Stegostoma tigrinum: one gene and its partner. The protein of the gene in region 2 purifies or fractionates together with the protein of the main gene of each other region. This does not show direct contact. Links are inferred from orthologs where the notes say so. Each region holds a gene or a part of one and is shown on either strand. Other genes may lie near its edges.

Region 1 (7,749 bases), on a different chromosome or scaffold from region 2:
AGTGAGACCAAGCATAGACTCGGAGATCATTTTGTACAGCATCTGCACATGACAGAGGACCACACCCTCCAATTGCCAACAATTTTAACTCCCCCTGCCATTCCCTGGGTGGCATGTCCATCCTGGGAAACCTCCAGTATCGCAATGACACTACCTGCAAACTGGAGGAGCAACATCTCATATTCTGATTCAAAAGCCTACAGCCTGATGGTCTAAACATGGAGCTCACCAGTTTCAATCTCCCCAAACCCCAGCCTCATCCCATGTCCAACACTCCCTCTCATCCCTACCTCCTTGACCTGACATATCCTGTCCATCTTTTCTCCCACCTATCTCACTGACCAATCTCCACCACTGCCTATCATCTGCACTCACCTATCACCATCCCACCTACCTTCTTCAGCCCCATCCCTCCTCCATTTATTTGAGATCCCTCTCCATTTCTGAAGAAGAGTCCTGACTCAAAACATAACTTTCTTGCTCCTCCAGCTCCAGTGTTGTTTCTGACTCCAGCATCTGCAGTTCTTGCTATCTCTTCATCATGGCACACTACATCACCACACATTTTAAAAATGGATGTGTATTTACGTTGCACATTTCACAACAGACAGACAACACAGAGCACTCTATAGTTATTTTAAGTATTTTTTGAATAAAAAGGGTATTGTAATGGAGGGCAAGCAGCAACCAAATGCATGTCATAAGCCTCTATAAACAGCGATGTCATGATGCTCAGGTGTTTTTTTTGTGATTTTTGGTGACAGGTCAACTCGCTTCCTCATTTTGAATGTGCGGCACAATCTTTTACATACATCTGAATAGGTAGATGGGGCCTCAGTTTGATATTTCATCTGAAAGATGGCACCTCCAGCAATGTTGTGCTCAGAGGACTGCACTGGAGTGTAAGAAAAGCCCTGCTGACACTCAAGTCTTGGGATTAGACTTGAACATGGACATTTGACACTCAGAGGCAGGATCTTACAAACTGAACCAAAGCCAGCATTCAAAAACTTAATTCATACATGTATTTCTGGCTACAAAAATCCTATTTCAAATTGTTATTTTTTGTGTTATGTTTTCTATTACTAATCCATTGTAAATTCTTGTGCCGACTTTTGTAACTGTCCACACCATCACACCAGTGGTAGTGTTTGAGTGATTCAGTTCTGTATCTTCTAGTTTCTCAATCTTTAATGCAGACAGTGTTCCAAAGGGGTTCCTTTTCTACTTTCCAATTGGTAATGTTTTCATTTTTAAAACTATAAACATAAAATCAAGGTGTTATACAAATGGACATAAAACAGCTCCCAACCCACTGTCTGGATTACATTCCATAGAGATTTCGTTGTGGAATCTTCAAACTTTTCTGTTCTCTCCAAAAAAAAAATGCAATCTAACCAGCTGGAGTTTCCAGTAGTTCACCTTTCGTTACTGGATTTCACTCATCTCTATCTCCAATCATTGCATCTATATTCAAACTTTCTCTGAAAACTACTACTTGACATCACTGGCACAAAGCTACAGCACAGTGACCAACTTTATTTTTAATTTTAAAACATTTACGTAAATAGCTGGCACTAACTTCCTAACCCACACTTACATCATACAACAGCTGATCACTAAAGTGTCTATTTTCCAATCTCCCAACTAACTCATTTGTCACTACCATTACAGCCTTAAAACTGCAATGAAGTAGTAATTAATGTTTTAAAAAGTAAGTCACAATTTTCATTAATCTAGCACCTATAAAATGCCCACAGTACTACAAAATCATTGTGTGCTTCAATCCAGATAGATATCTTTAAACTCACAAGTTGTGTACAAGATATAATAAAGCATTTACTGAACTCTTACTACCTTAAATAAATATTTACATGCATATAGTACTTCAGATTGCAAGTAATTCATATCATTTAGACAGTCTTCAATTTGTAGTCTCTTTTCAAATGCACAAGTTACAGCAAAGCTTCTTTATTAAAACAAAAACAGGTTGTTCAAAAATATTCAGTGTGTTTCCCCAGCTTCTTCAAATTATGCAGACATATTAAAATTCCCTCCCCATGCAAAACTGCCAACTCATTCAGGGGTCTGAATCCAGAGGGCAGCAGCACTTTGGTCGAGCTAATCTTAGTGTTCATTCAGGATGGGATGAGCTAATTTACTGACCAGGGATCCTGGCCAACATGACTGAATCCAAAGTGTGTCCTTTTCTAAGTGACTGAGCAATTACGTGACCATATAATTTCAATCCTACAGTTAGACAAATTGAACGTCATTGAATGAGCAAGAAGAGCAATTCTGAATACTGACATTTAAAAGTACAAAATCCACAATGGTCGCGAAATCTGTTGCTCAACATTTGACTATGCAGCAGTGTCTAACTGCTGAAAATTGGGCAAACGGCAGAGGCCAAAAACGCAGCTTTGGCTGTGAACGAGCGCCTCATACAGACAAACAATACTGACAGTGCAACACAGAAGGATTAGGCAACTGTGGTGGCTGCATTCTCCAAAAAGTTGTGGTAGTCAACATAATGGACTAGGAAGCAATCACAACTCGATATGGTGCATCAGGCAGAGACTCAGTTTAACTGAGTAATCACTTCAAACCGGGCAGCAAAGCAAATCTACAGTCCACGCACAGACTAAATAATCAAACGTTGGTGCAAGTCATGTTGGAGGTTACATCGTGTCATTTTGTGAGTGGTCGAAAGAACCCCACATCTTTCCCCGGCCTCCAGCTGGCTGAGGCATGGAGGGAGAGGGGAGGGATCTAAACCCGATCTGCTGCCTCACTGCTCCGACACCGGAGACGTGTGGAGATGCTCCATTCCAACCCCAGGGACAGGGAGGGCCGCTGTCGGGGCCTTGGCCTGAAGCTGTCAACCCCCACTCCTCAGTCCGGGCCTGGCAGTTAAGTGGGAAAATCAGGGACCTCTCCAGTCGGTCGTGTCCCAGGTCAGGTAATAAGGACGGCCCACCAATGTTAGGCGGGAGGCCTTCAGGCCCCGAACCCGAGCAGGCTGCAAGAAGCTCGCCGAAGATGAAGCCGTTACTCACAATGTTTTCCGCCATGACACCCCCCGGGAGCGGCTCCTCGGCCTTTTACCGAAATTTGCCTTCCAACTCCTCCGCGTGTCACCACAAAACCCGTCCGATGCTGCACAGCGCAAGGTAACACTCCGTTCCGAGGTATATACGTTCCCCCTTCTGTACAACGCAGTACAACGTTGACAATGCAAAAACAAAACTTAGCAATTTACGTACAAACTACCACACGCACAGTAATTAGTTATATTTGCGCAACCTATCCTAAAATATTCCAGCAAGTTTACTTCCATTTCGTTTCCCCATAAAATTATAGAACAGTTAACAGTTTTTTGAACTTTGATACCACATATCCTAATGAGATGGACAAGTTAACATTAATTTTCTTAAACTTTGCACACCCGTTAAAAAGCAGATCCGTCGGAACATTCACCAATTGGACAACTTTCTGTGCATGATGTAGTAGAAGTGCAGTGTAGTTAACAAGATGTGCTTTTATCAAGTAAGTCCAATATTAGTCAATGTGGGACCAAAGCTTAAAACCGTGTTACAAATACCCAAGATAACAAAGTGTGAGGCTGGATGAACACAGCAGGCCAAGCAGCATCTCAGGACCACAAAAGCTGACGTTTTGGGCCTAGACCCTTCATCAGAGAGGGGGACGGAGGGAGGGTTCTGGAATAAATAGGGAGAGGGGGGAGGCAGACCGAAGATGGAGAAAAGAAGATAAGTAGAGAGGAGAGTATAGGTGGGGAGGTGACAGGTCAGTCCAGGGAAGACGGACAGGTCAGGGAGGTGGGATGAGGTTAGTAGGTAGGAAATGGAGGTGCAGCTTGAGGTGGGAGGAAGGGATGGGTGAGAGGAAGAACAGGTTAGGGAGGCAGAGACAGGCTTGGGGGGGAGGGGACGAACTGGGCTGGTTTTGGGATGCGGTGGGGGAAGGGGAGATTTTGAAGCTGGTGAAGTCCACATTGATACCATTGGGCTGCAGGGTTCCCAAGCAGAATATGAGTTGCTGTTCCTGAAACCTTCAGGTGGCATCATTGTGGCACTGCAGGAGATCCATGATGGACATATCGTCTAAAGAATGGGAGGGGGAGTTGAAATGGTTCACGACTGGGAGGTGCAGTTGTTTATTGCGAACCGAGCGGAGGTGTCGGCAAAGCGGTCCCCAAGCGTCCGCTTGGTTTCCCCAATGTAGAGGAAGCCACACTGGGTACAATGGATACAGTATACTACATTGGCAGATGTGCAGGTGAACCTCTGCTTAATATGGAAAGTCATCTTGGGGCCTGGGATGCGGGTGAGGTAGGAGGTGTGGGGGCAAGTGTAGCACTTCCTGCGGTTGCAGGGGAAGGTGCCGGGTGTGGTGGGGTTGGAGGGGAGTGTGGACCGAACAAGGGAGTGACAGAGAGAGTGATCTCTCCGGAAGGCAGACAAGGGTGGGGATGGGAAAATGTCTTGGGGTCGAATTGTAGATGGCGGAAGTAACATTATCGCAACATTTTAATAGGGAATTTACAAAATAATCATGTATGTATCATTCCTAGAATTGTGTGTAAATTTACCAAAACAGGCCATTCAGATTTATTCCAATGTTTTAACCCTGTACATGCTATGTCTTATCCTACTTCAGCTCACTGCATCAACATATCATCTATTCCCGTTCTGCTCCTGTGGAGTAAGTGGCCAACTATACCTTTATTCCACTGAGTGTGTCTGTAAGGAGTAATGCCCATCATGGTGTCAGATGATACGGAATTGGGCTCTAAATGCATTGGTTTCCCAGGGATGTCTTCTTTACCATTTTCTTATATATCGTTAATGTAAAGGTGGTTGATGTTAACTGACATGGAAGCAGATTACCTTCTATCAATAACCCAGATTTAATCTCAAAACATGTTGGCAAGTGGTGACCAGATCCACAGAACTCATGGCATATGTAAAGAAGATGCTGCCTGATCATAGTATATAAGAGATTACTGCAGATTAGAGATCTTCACAAAGAGGAGAAAATAAAATGTTTTCAGTTGCCATAACTCTTCAAGAAGAAAAATACTCAGCAGTATAAAGCTGAGTTTTATTTCTTGAAGATAGAGAACTTTCCTGGTGCCAGACCACTTGAATGTGACTCAGTTCAATTCATTAATAGGGAGCTACCAATTTGCTGGTAAGATAAATAACACTGAGAGAAAGGCCTTCTCTTGGGCTACTGGACCACATTCAGTGCCTGTGACCAGATCCTGTATTAGGTCAACTAGGACGAATGGTTTAGTTGATACCAGATTGCCATTGACCTCAAAAATATCAGATAAAGACCAAATCAGTGTATTGTTGTACGTGATCAATAGCAGTATTGACACTATTTTTATCAGGTCAGGCACAGAAAACACACTGTTAAATATGATGATGTGATCTAGTTCTTTGATTCTTATTCTAGTTAAAGACACAATCCCATCAAAGGGCAAAATTTATCTGGTAGAACAAAGAGCTAGGGAAGTCTATTGATTCTTCTATAAATAATTTATATCAGCCAGGTGCTAACTGCCAATAGGGAAGATTGAGAGATGAGCTCATGAAGGGACTCTATCAGTGTGCAAGTGTTTGATGGAGCTCTTTTGAGAAATTTCAATTTAATCAGAATCCCTGCAGCGTGGAAACAGGCTATTCGGACCATCAAGTCTACCCTCCAAAAAGCAACCCAGCCAGCCAGACAGCATTTCCCATGGTTAATTCACCTAGCCTGCACACTGGGGGCAATCTAGCACAGCCAGTCCACTTGAACTGTACAGGTTTGGACTGTGGGATGCAACTGGAGCCACCTAGAGGAAACCCCTGCAGACATGGGGGCAAATGTTCAAACTCTACACAAGCAGTTGCCCAAGGGTGGGGAATTGAACCTGGGTCCCTGGTGCTGTGAGGCAGCAGTGCTAATCACTGAGCCATTGTGCTCTCCTCTAAAATTCTGTTTTATATGAGGAAAGGCTGTGCAGTTCACCAGATTGTACTTTGCAAATAAAGCTGAGATTTTATTCTTGAAGACAGAGAACTTTCCTGGTGCCAGACCACTTGAATGTCACTCAGTTCAATTCATTAATAGGGAGCTACCAATTTGCTGGTAAGATAAATAACACTGAGAGAAAGGAGCACCATTTTCTGTCATTGTTTCTTGTCTGTGCTATTAGGATAGCTTCACATTGTCAACAATCCCACCCAACCAGCAATGCTGAGTATCATTTTAGGCTGAGTTGTGAAAAAGGGTCACTGGACCTGAAATGCTAACTCTGGTTTCTCTCCACAGATAATGTCAGATTTGTTGAGATTTTCCAGCGATTTCTGCTTTTGTTGCCAATTTAGGCTGGTTCGATAAAGTAACAATGAGGATTGTCTATTTGCTGGACAGAAGTTGAAAAACACACTGCCCCATTCTACAGTTATCAAAGAAGTAAATGCTGCCAAGTCTCAAGACATATTCTTCTGGGTGGTGGGGTGGTCTGGTGGTTCCACTGGCATGTATATCATGTTTAGTAGAAAATAAATTGGTATTAAAGTGGATACAGAGGAAAGCATAGCCATTCTTTCTGATTCACCACTATGGTCGAAGCTTAAATTCTCCACCTGTGTCCAACTAAACCTCAAGGTGTAGGAGGCATTACAATAACAGTGCGAGGGCAGATGCAGGTTATCCTTTTCTAGAATGGAATGGAGATTATTGATACTGTGTACATCATTCCCAAACAGCATTGTTCTTTATAAAACGGAGCTGTGCAGGTAACATAGAAACTTTTTTATTCCCATGCTGCAGCTGAATTTAAATAAATTCATTTCTCGACAAGAAATTGACTCCTTAATCTGCAAGCCATTTTTCATTGAAGAACCAACGTCCATAGGACCACAGGAGGATGTGGCAGATTTCTCACTTACTTTGAGGAAAGGTAGGAGAAGCAGAGAATAGGATTCACCAAAAGTAACAGTGACCTGCAGCAAAGTTACCTCCATTTGCTCTTACAGGAATGAATGGCAGAGAATGAGACTGACATAAAAGCAGACTATCCAACTGATGAAAAGGTCTGGAACTTTCTACACTGTTTGACCATAAAATTCATGACAATTTAGCCTCTGCTTTCTTTTTTGAGCCACCTCATGTCTGTTGGAAGAGGTGAGGAAGAAATGAATTTATCTGCTTTTCCAATGACCTTGCTGATTACATGCAACAAACAACTGACAGCAGCCAGCAAAAAAAGTTATCCAAGGAGGATGAAATATTTAACTTTAACTTGGATTCAGCCTTTGTTGAATATTCAGTTATTACTAATCGACAAAAGAAGTCAGTTGAAGCCTGAAAGTGAGTCTCACTAGCAAGTCATGGACAGTTGAGAAATACTTTATAAAAGCTTAAATCTGATTATCAAATTGAGATTAATGTATTAAAATAAAGCAAACAGTTCTGAAGAAGACTCATGCCAGATTCTGTTTCACCCTCCACAGATGCTACCAGACCTGCTGAGCATTTTCAGTTCTTATTTAAATCTAAAAGAGATTAGTGAAGTCAAGCCACCTAAAAAGGACTGCCAGACTAAAAGCCTAGATATTAGCAGTGACACAGAGTATTCAAGTAACAGAGCAACTGTCTGAAGGAGTACCCACATTAACTATTTTTCTTATCGCCAAGTAGATCTTTATCAGGAATGTGCCTGTTCCT
Region 2 (7,561 bases):
ATCCAAGGGCCCAAACATATTTCCACCTGCACTTCCCAGAATCTGGTCTACTGCATTCGCTGCTCACAATGTGGTCTCGTCTACAATGGGGAAACGAAGCGTAGACTTGGCGACTGCTTTACAGATCATCTACGTTCTGCTCGCAATAAAGACCCTGAACCACCTGTTGCCTGCCACTTTAACGCACCACCCTGCTCCCTGGCCAACATTTGTGCCTTTGCCTTACTGCAGTGTTCCAAAGAAGCCCAAGGCAAGCTGGAGGAACAACACTTCATTTTCCACTTGGGTTTTGCTACAGCCCTCCGGACTCAATATTGAGTTCAATAATTTTAGGGCCTAAACTCTCCCATATACCAGGCCTTGTTACCACATAGCCTGCCATTACACACCCCCTGTTGTTAGTCACTACAAGACCCCATTCATAACTAATCACCCTGATCATAAGCAACTCCTTTGTTGGTCCAACTATCTTTCTCTCCCTTTGGGCTCTATCCTATCATTTACTCCCTACCCCACCCACCTCCCTATTTTCTACATATAAACTGACATTTTCCCAGCTAGTATCAGTTCTGACGAAGGGTCACCAGACCCAAAACGTTAACTCTGTTTTTACCTTCGCAGGTGCTGCCAGACCTGCTGAGCTTTACCAGCAACTTTGTTTTTGCTCCTGATTTACGGCATCTGCAATTCTTTTGGTTTTTGTTTGTCATGGAGCTGATCAGACAGCAGGTTAAATGAGACTTCATACTGTGTAATGAGATAAGGTTAACTGATGACCTGCAAAGCTGATGTGGGCTGACAAATATGATAAAGGGACAGTTCAACAGAAATGTAGTGTCAGACATTTCAAGGGATATCTCAGAATACATAGAATGGATACATTCCAATGTGAAAGGAAAAATTCCAAGGGGAGGAGCCCTCCATATGTGGTTTGTTAGAAAAGTTAAAGATAGCATCAAACTTAAAAAAAGCGTATAATTTTGCAAGAGTAGATGGGAGGTCAGAAGATTGGAGAGAACATTTTAAAAAAAAGCAAAGAATGGTTAAAATAACAAGGAAGAAAAAGTGTTTGAGAAAGCAAGAAGTATAAAATCAGATCATAGAAGTTTCTGCATTTTTAATTAAAAAGACGTTAAAGTGATCATTGGCCTAATATGAAAAAAGTGAGCCTGATCAGTGAATTGTGAAAGAAGTAAATTATGTTGTATGAAAGGACAGAGGGTTCGCACTCCTCTTGATAAAGATGGAAGGGGTCCTAGTGGTCTTACAACATTCAAATGGTTAGGCATTGTAATCTACTTAGTGGCATCTAACCTTGCTTGGGGCAGCATAGTGTCTCAGTGTTTAGCACTGCTGCCTCACAGTACCAGGGGCCCAGGTTCAATTTCACCCTCTAGCAACTGTCTGTGTGGAGTTTGTATATTCTCCCCATATCTGCACGGATCTCCTCCAGGTGCTCCAGTGGGCTAGGTGGGTTAGCCACAGTAAATGTAGGACTATGGGGTAGGGTGTCAGTCTGGGTAGGATGCTCTTCGGAGGGTCATTGCAGACTCGATGGGCCGAATGGAATGCGCTCTCACTGTAGGGAATCTGAGTCTAAAGACTTGGCAGAAGAATTAATTGAATGTTTTTTACTAGTCTTCAAAGGACTTCAAAAAACAGCAATTGCCAAACATTTACATATCCAAACTGAAAACATTAGCATAGATGACCAAAAAGTTGATCAAATATACATATTTTGAGGACGATCAGGGCAAATCAGGGCAGGACTTATACACGTCACAGTAAAGCCCTGGGGAATGTTGCTGAACAAAGAAACCTTGGAGTGCAGGTCCATAATTCCTTGCAAGTAGAATCACAGGTAGACACGATAATGAAGGCATTTGATACATTTGCCTTTTTTGGTCACTGCATTGAGAATAGGAGTTGGGAGGTCATCTCGAGGCGGTACAGGTCATTGGTTAGGCCACGTTTAGAAAACTGTGTTCACTTCTGGTGTCCCTGCTACATGAATGATGTTATGAAATTTGCAAGGGCTCAGAAAAGATTTTTTAAAATATTGCCAGGGTTGGAGGGTTTGAGCCACAGTGAGAGGCTGAATAGGTTGTGGCTATATTCCCTGGCGTATCAGAGGTTGAGGGGTGCCATTGAAGAAGTTTATAAAATCATGTGGTTAATAGATTGACTATTCACCGTAAGTCTTTTCCCCATAGTAGCAGATTCCAAAGCTAGAGGGCATGGGTTTAAGATGAGAGGGGCAAGATTTAAAAGGGAATTAAGGGAGAACATTTTTCATGTAGAGGGTTGTGCACGTATGGAATGAGCTACCAGAGGAGCTGTTGGAGGTTGGCAGAAATACAACATTTAAAAGGCATCTACATGGGTACATGAATAGGAAGAGTTTAGAGGGATATGGGCCAAATACTGACAATGGGACTAGATTAATTTAGGATATCTGGTCAGCACGGAAAGGTTGGGCCAAAGGGTCTGTTTCCATGCTGTACAGCTTTATGACTCTAAGGAGATAAAAGGGTTTTTTGGCGGGGATGTGGACTGGTAAGACCATTAATGGCCCATATGTCAAGCATGAATTAAGGATCTCACCCAAGCAAAGAGAGAGGGGGAGATGTCCCTAAACAGTGATCTGAAAACTTCAGCGACAGTCTTTACCATGCCAATCCAAGAAACGGCAGTCGAACGCAACAATCTAACACGGCACTAGAAAGCAAACAATAACCACAGCCCACGAAAAATCAGTAACTCGGAGAAACAGACGGATAAGGGGAAAGTTTAACTATCGTTTCATGTCTTTTAATTGGCTTAAAGGGACAGAAATCATAGTGTCACATTCTGTCCTCATTATGATGGGTGTGTTATGTAGACGAAACCCAGACATATGACTGAGGTAACATTGATCAAAGAAAGTGAGAAAGACTAAAGACTAATTCCCACACGTAGAAAACTAACCTTTCCAAGTGGGAGGCGAGTTTAACGCTGAAATGAGAACTTCAAACGAGGTGAGGCTGGGGCTTCAGGCTTCCTACCTGTGGCTCTAAATCGGCCTGCTCCCCTTCTCCCTCGAACTTATTCCCGAACCTTCAAAAATAAATCTCCTCAATATCCCTCTCACCTGGTATCCTCAGTCAGAGCATGACCCGGCCCAGCGCCTTTAAACTTTATATCCCGCTTAAAATCCTCAAAAAATTTCTTCATCTTTCCTCTATGTCACCAGAGTTCTCAGTGTCACATCATCTACACTCCCCCCCTACCTCTACCGGAACTCCGCTGGTTCTCAACCGGAAGCGAACCATTTCACCAATGCACCGACGCTGTTGCCGAGGCAACAAAGCGAGCCCCAACTTGCGGAGAGACCAAGGTCAGTTTTCTTGCCTGCTGTTGAAACTGTTAGGAATTCCTGAGTCTCAAAGCAATAGAAAAAAAAATCTCCAAATAATGAAAATGGAAATAAATTGTTAGAGAAACAAATCTTGAGAAAAACGAAACGAATATCCTGGAAACTTGAACCTTTAATGATCAATGAATTGAAAAGACAGATCAGTAGATAACAAAGTGTGGAGCTGGATGAACACAGCAGGCCAAGCAGCATCTCAGGAGCACAAACGCTGACGTTTCGGGCCTAGACCCTTCATCCAGCTTCACACTTTGTTATCTTGGATTCTCCAGCATCTGCAGTTCCCATTATCTCTGATCAGAGGTCTGTAGATTCGGACGGGGTTTGACAACTAGACGTCCGTTCTCATGCAAGGTTATACCTAAACTGTCAGCATGTTTTTTCTTCAATTAAATGGTTGTCCCAATGTCATCAAACATTATGCTGAAAGCATGCCTCCATTAAAGAGTGCACAACGAATTTATTTAGAAAATAAATTATTCCTTTAAAGAAATTAAGTAGATTGTCAAAATGTACATTGTTATTGCCATCCATGATCAATCCGGTCTTTCATTGCTGTGGTGACCGCTGTTTGTGTTGGGCCTTCAGCAAAATGGTGGTGTCATTATGGGTGGTGACTAATTTTCTAACCCAGAATGATATTGCACAAATGGAGACCTTTTTGCACGTTGCTCCTGTTCCTGCTCTTTGAACAAGATAGTTAGTTAGTTCCATTCTCTATATCCCATTATCTATTAAAACTTCAAGGTCCTTTATGTCAGCCTGGCACCATTCTTGAAATTTTCTTTTTTTCCTGTACTGTCTGTCAGGCCCTCAGGTCTTGTGGTGCAACGGGTAAATGTGTCCCAGCTGCTGACCTGGAAGATCCAGCTTCACCTCTTAGCACATGACTGGATGGCCATGGAAGGTATGTTGAGTCTTAATCTGCAAATTCAGAACTTTAGGAAGTCTACCACCACTGCAGACTACAACTTGGACTCTTGAGTGAATTGCAATGCACCATCTCTAACATCTTTACATCATCCTTAAAATGTGTCCAGAGGTGAACTCATACTGCAGCTGTGGTATAATCTAACCTTCTTGCTTTTGGTTCTATCCATCTAATAATAAAGCCAAGGATTCCATATGATTTTTAACTCACCTCCTCAACTTATTCTGCCACCTTCAAAGATTTCTATATGTACACCGCTAGATCTCTGTGTTCCTGAAACCCTTTTAAAATTTCACCATTTATTTAATATTGACTCCCTTTATTCTTTATATATACAATAAACCACCTTACAATTATCTGTGTTAAACTGCATGAACTACGTATCAGCGCATTTCACCAGTATGTGTCCTCCTGAAGTCTGTTACTATCTAGCTTATTATTCACTGCATTTCTGAGTATTACATTTAAAATGTAAAATTATGACCACTATGCCCATGTCTAGGTCTTTCATAGAAGTCAAAAAAAGCAGTGGTTCCAGTACCTACCCCTATGGGACACTTAACCTTTGGCAAATTACTTGTATGCACTGTCTTTGATCCTTGAATCTAATTGGCTGTAATGCTGATGACACATCTGCTGTGTAATACTTAGGCAAATTCTTTTGGAAGATCCATATACACATCAACATATATTAACCATTTCCAATACCTTGGCCAGATTTTCTGCTCGGTCATACTGGTTTTCTCAGTGAAATTTGCTGGAAGTTGGTGAAGCCTGTGCTTGTAATTGTTTAAAAAGCAAGACATTGGGAAGAGACAAAAAAAACTGCAGTTGCTGGAATCCAAGGCAGACAAACAAGAGGCTGGAAGATCACAGCAAGCCAGGCAGCATCTGGAGGAAAGGAGCAGTCACCATTTTGGGTATTACCCTTCTTCGGGATAGGGGAAGCTGCAGATCAAGAGAGGCGGACGAGTGGAAGCAGAACGGTGGTGATGGGTGGACACTGATAGTCAGTACAACCTGGTCAGTTGATGGGAGGAATGGATCTGGCTGGTAGCTGGAAAGGAGGAACAGAAGGTGGAATTGAAGGAAGGAGGTGGGGCTGGAAAGGGACCCGGAGGATGGGTCAGAAACTTATTTGAAATTGTATAACTTAGCTTTGAGACCTCCAGCCTGTAGGGCATGCAGGCAGAAAATAAGATCTTGTTCTTCAAATTTGTGTTCCGAGTCACTGCGACACTAGAGGAGGCCGAGGATGGACATGTTGGAGAATTGGGGCAGGAAGTTGAAATGGGTGGTGACCAGGAGGTTAGGTTGGCTGTTACGTGCCGGCAAAAATGCTCGGTGAAACAGTCACCTAGTCTACGTTTGGTCTCACTAACGTAAAGAAGACCACATCAGAAGCACTGGATGCAATTGACTATGTTGGAAGAGATGCAGGTGAAGCTCAGTCTCACTTGGAAAGGCTATGTAGAGCCCTGAATGGAGGTGAGGGAGGTGTGTGTGGGCAGGTGTTGCATCTTTTATGGTTACAGGGGAAGGTACCGGGCAGGTTAAAGTGTTTGTTGGGGAGTGTGATGCGAACAAAGGAGTGGTGAAGGGAATGGGTCTTATGGAAGACAGAGAGGGGTGGGGAGAGATGATCCAGGTAGTGGGGTTTGATTGGAGTTGGCGGAAGTTTGAGATAATATGTTGGATGCAGAGGTTGGTGGGGTAGAAAGTGAGGACAAGAGAGACCCTTTCTTTATTATATAAACCAAAAAAACAATGAGGAATGGTCACCGGATATGAAACATTACCTCTGTTTTCTCCTTCACAAATACTGCCAGACCTGCTGGGCTTTTCCAGCAACTTTGTTTTTGCTCGGTTCTTTTATTATGTTTGGAAGGAGGGTGGTTAAGAGCTGTGGAGCAGGGAATGGGGGAGGTGTGGTAAAGGACTGTCTGGATGACAGGGGCAGGAGTAAAACTGTTGTTTGAAAAAGGCGGACATCCAGGATGCTTCAAATGGAACATCTTCTCATCAGAGCAGATGCGACAGAGACAGAGGAATTGGGAAAATAGGATGGAGTTTTTGCGGGTTACAAGATGGGAAGTGGTGTAATCTAGGTAGCTACAGGAGTCTCCAAGATAACAAAGTGTGGAGCTGGATGAACACAGCAGGCCAAGCAGCATCTCAGGAGCACAAAAGCTGATGTTTCGGGCCTAGACCCTTCATCATCTGATGAAGGGTTTAGGCCTGAAACGTCAGCTTTTGTGCTCCTGAGATGCTGGTTGGCCTGCTGTGTTCATACAGCTCCACACTTTGTTATCTTGGATTCTCCAGCATCTGCAGTTCCCATTATCTCAGCTACAGGAGTCTGTGGGTTTATAGTAAATGTCAGTCTGTAATGGAAATGGAGAGGTCAAGAAAGGGAGGGAGGTATCTGAGATAGACCAAGTGAATTTGAGGGCGGGATGGAAATTGTTAGCAAAGTCAATGGACTGCTCCAGTTCAGCCTGGGTGCAGGATGCAGCACTGATGTAATCATTGATGTAACAGTGGAATAGTTGGGGCAGAACCTGAAGAGGGACTGTTCAATATAACTGACAAACAGGCAGGCGTAGCTGGGGCCCATGTAAGTGTCCATGGCAACCCTCTGGATTTGGAAGAGTCTTTCCTACCCACAAAACTAGCCATTACACAGGTTATCATAAGAAATTTCTGCTAATTATGCTTGTTTGCAGGTTTCAAGGAGTCTTTTAAAATTAAGCTGGTTATATCGAACATAAGGGCACTAATAAGAATGTTTTAAAAGCTTTTGAATATGACTTCTTGTAATTTGCTCAGAAACAAACTAGCAACTGTTCTGTATAGTTTTTAATGGTAATTTTCACTTATTTAAAGTCTGGTTACTGGCAGATCTGACTAAAATACTTCCTTGTGTGGATAAAGCTATTTTCAGCTGTATCAATTAAACTTCTTCAAGTTACCACTCTTTTCAGTCTCAAAAATGAAATGAGAAAAAGCACCCAGATCACCCAAAACAAAAATTACAAGCCATTCTGTTACCAGCATTTCTGATTTCATTTCAATAATAAAATGTCACAGGCTGTAATAAATCAAAGCCTGTGCACTCCTGCCACCCCATGTCTTAAATAATCAGTGTCAACTTGACCCAGTTGGTAGCACAGTGTTTTGGAACTCCAAAAGGCTGGATTGCCACAAAAAGTACCTCA

What was found.
Region 1: the proteins of ubxn6 (region 2) and nploc4 purify together in Homo sapiens (affinity purification with western blotting; 3 studies listed by BioGRID and IntAct, with this or other methods). This does not show direct contact. The link is inferred for Stegostoma tigrinum from reciprocal best matches to the Homo sapiens genes UBXN6 and NPLOC4.

What each region holds. Positions count from the first base shown.
Region 1 is NC_081375.1:23,072,063-23,079,811, reverse strand, and holds the start of nploc4 (nuclear protein localization protein 4 homolog), read right to left. Parts: upstream 3,196-7,749; 5' UTR 3,075-3,195; coding exon 3,060-3,074; exon of another isoform or gene 2,479-3,059; intron 1-2,478. UniProt on the Homo sapiens protein: The ternary complex containing UFD1, VCP and NPLOC4 binds ubiquitinated proteins and is necessary for the export of misfolded proteins from the ER to the cytoplasm, where they are degraded by the proteasome.
Region 2 is NC_081383.1:32,184,354-32,191,914, reverse strand, and holds the start of ubxn6 (UBX domain-containing protein 6), read right to left. Parts: upstream 3,276-7,561; 5' UTR 3,214-3,275; coding exon 3,131-3,213; intron 3,103-3,130; exon of another isoform or gene 2,968-3,102; intron 1,323-2,967; exon of another isoform or gene 1,200-1,322; intron 1-1,199. UniProt on the Homo sapiens protein: May negatively regulate the ATPase activity of VCP, an ATP-driven segregase that associates with different cofactors to control a wide variety of cellular processes.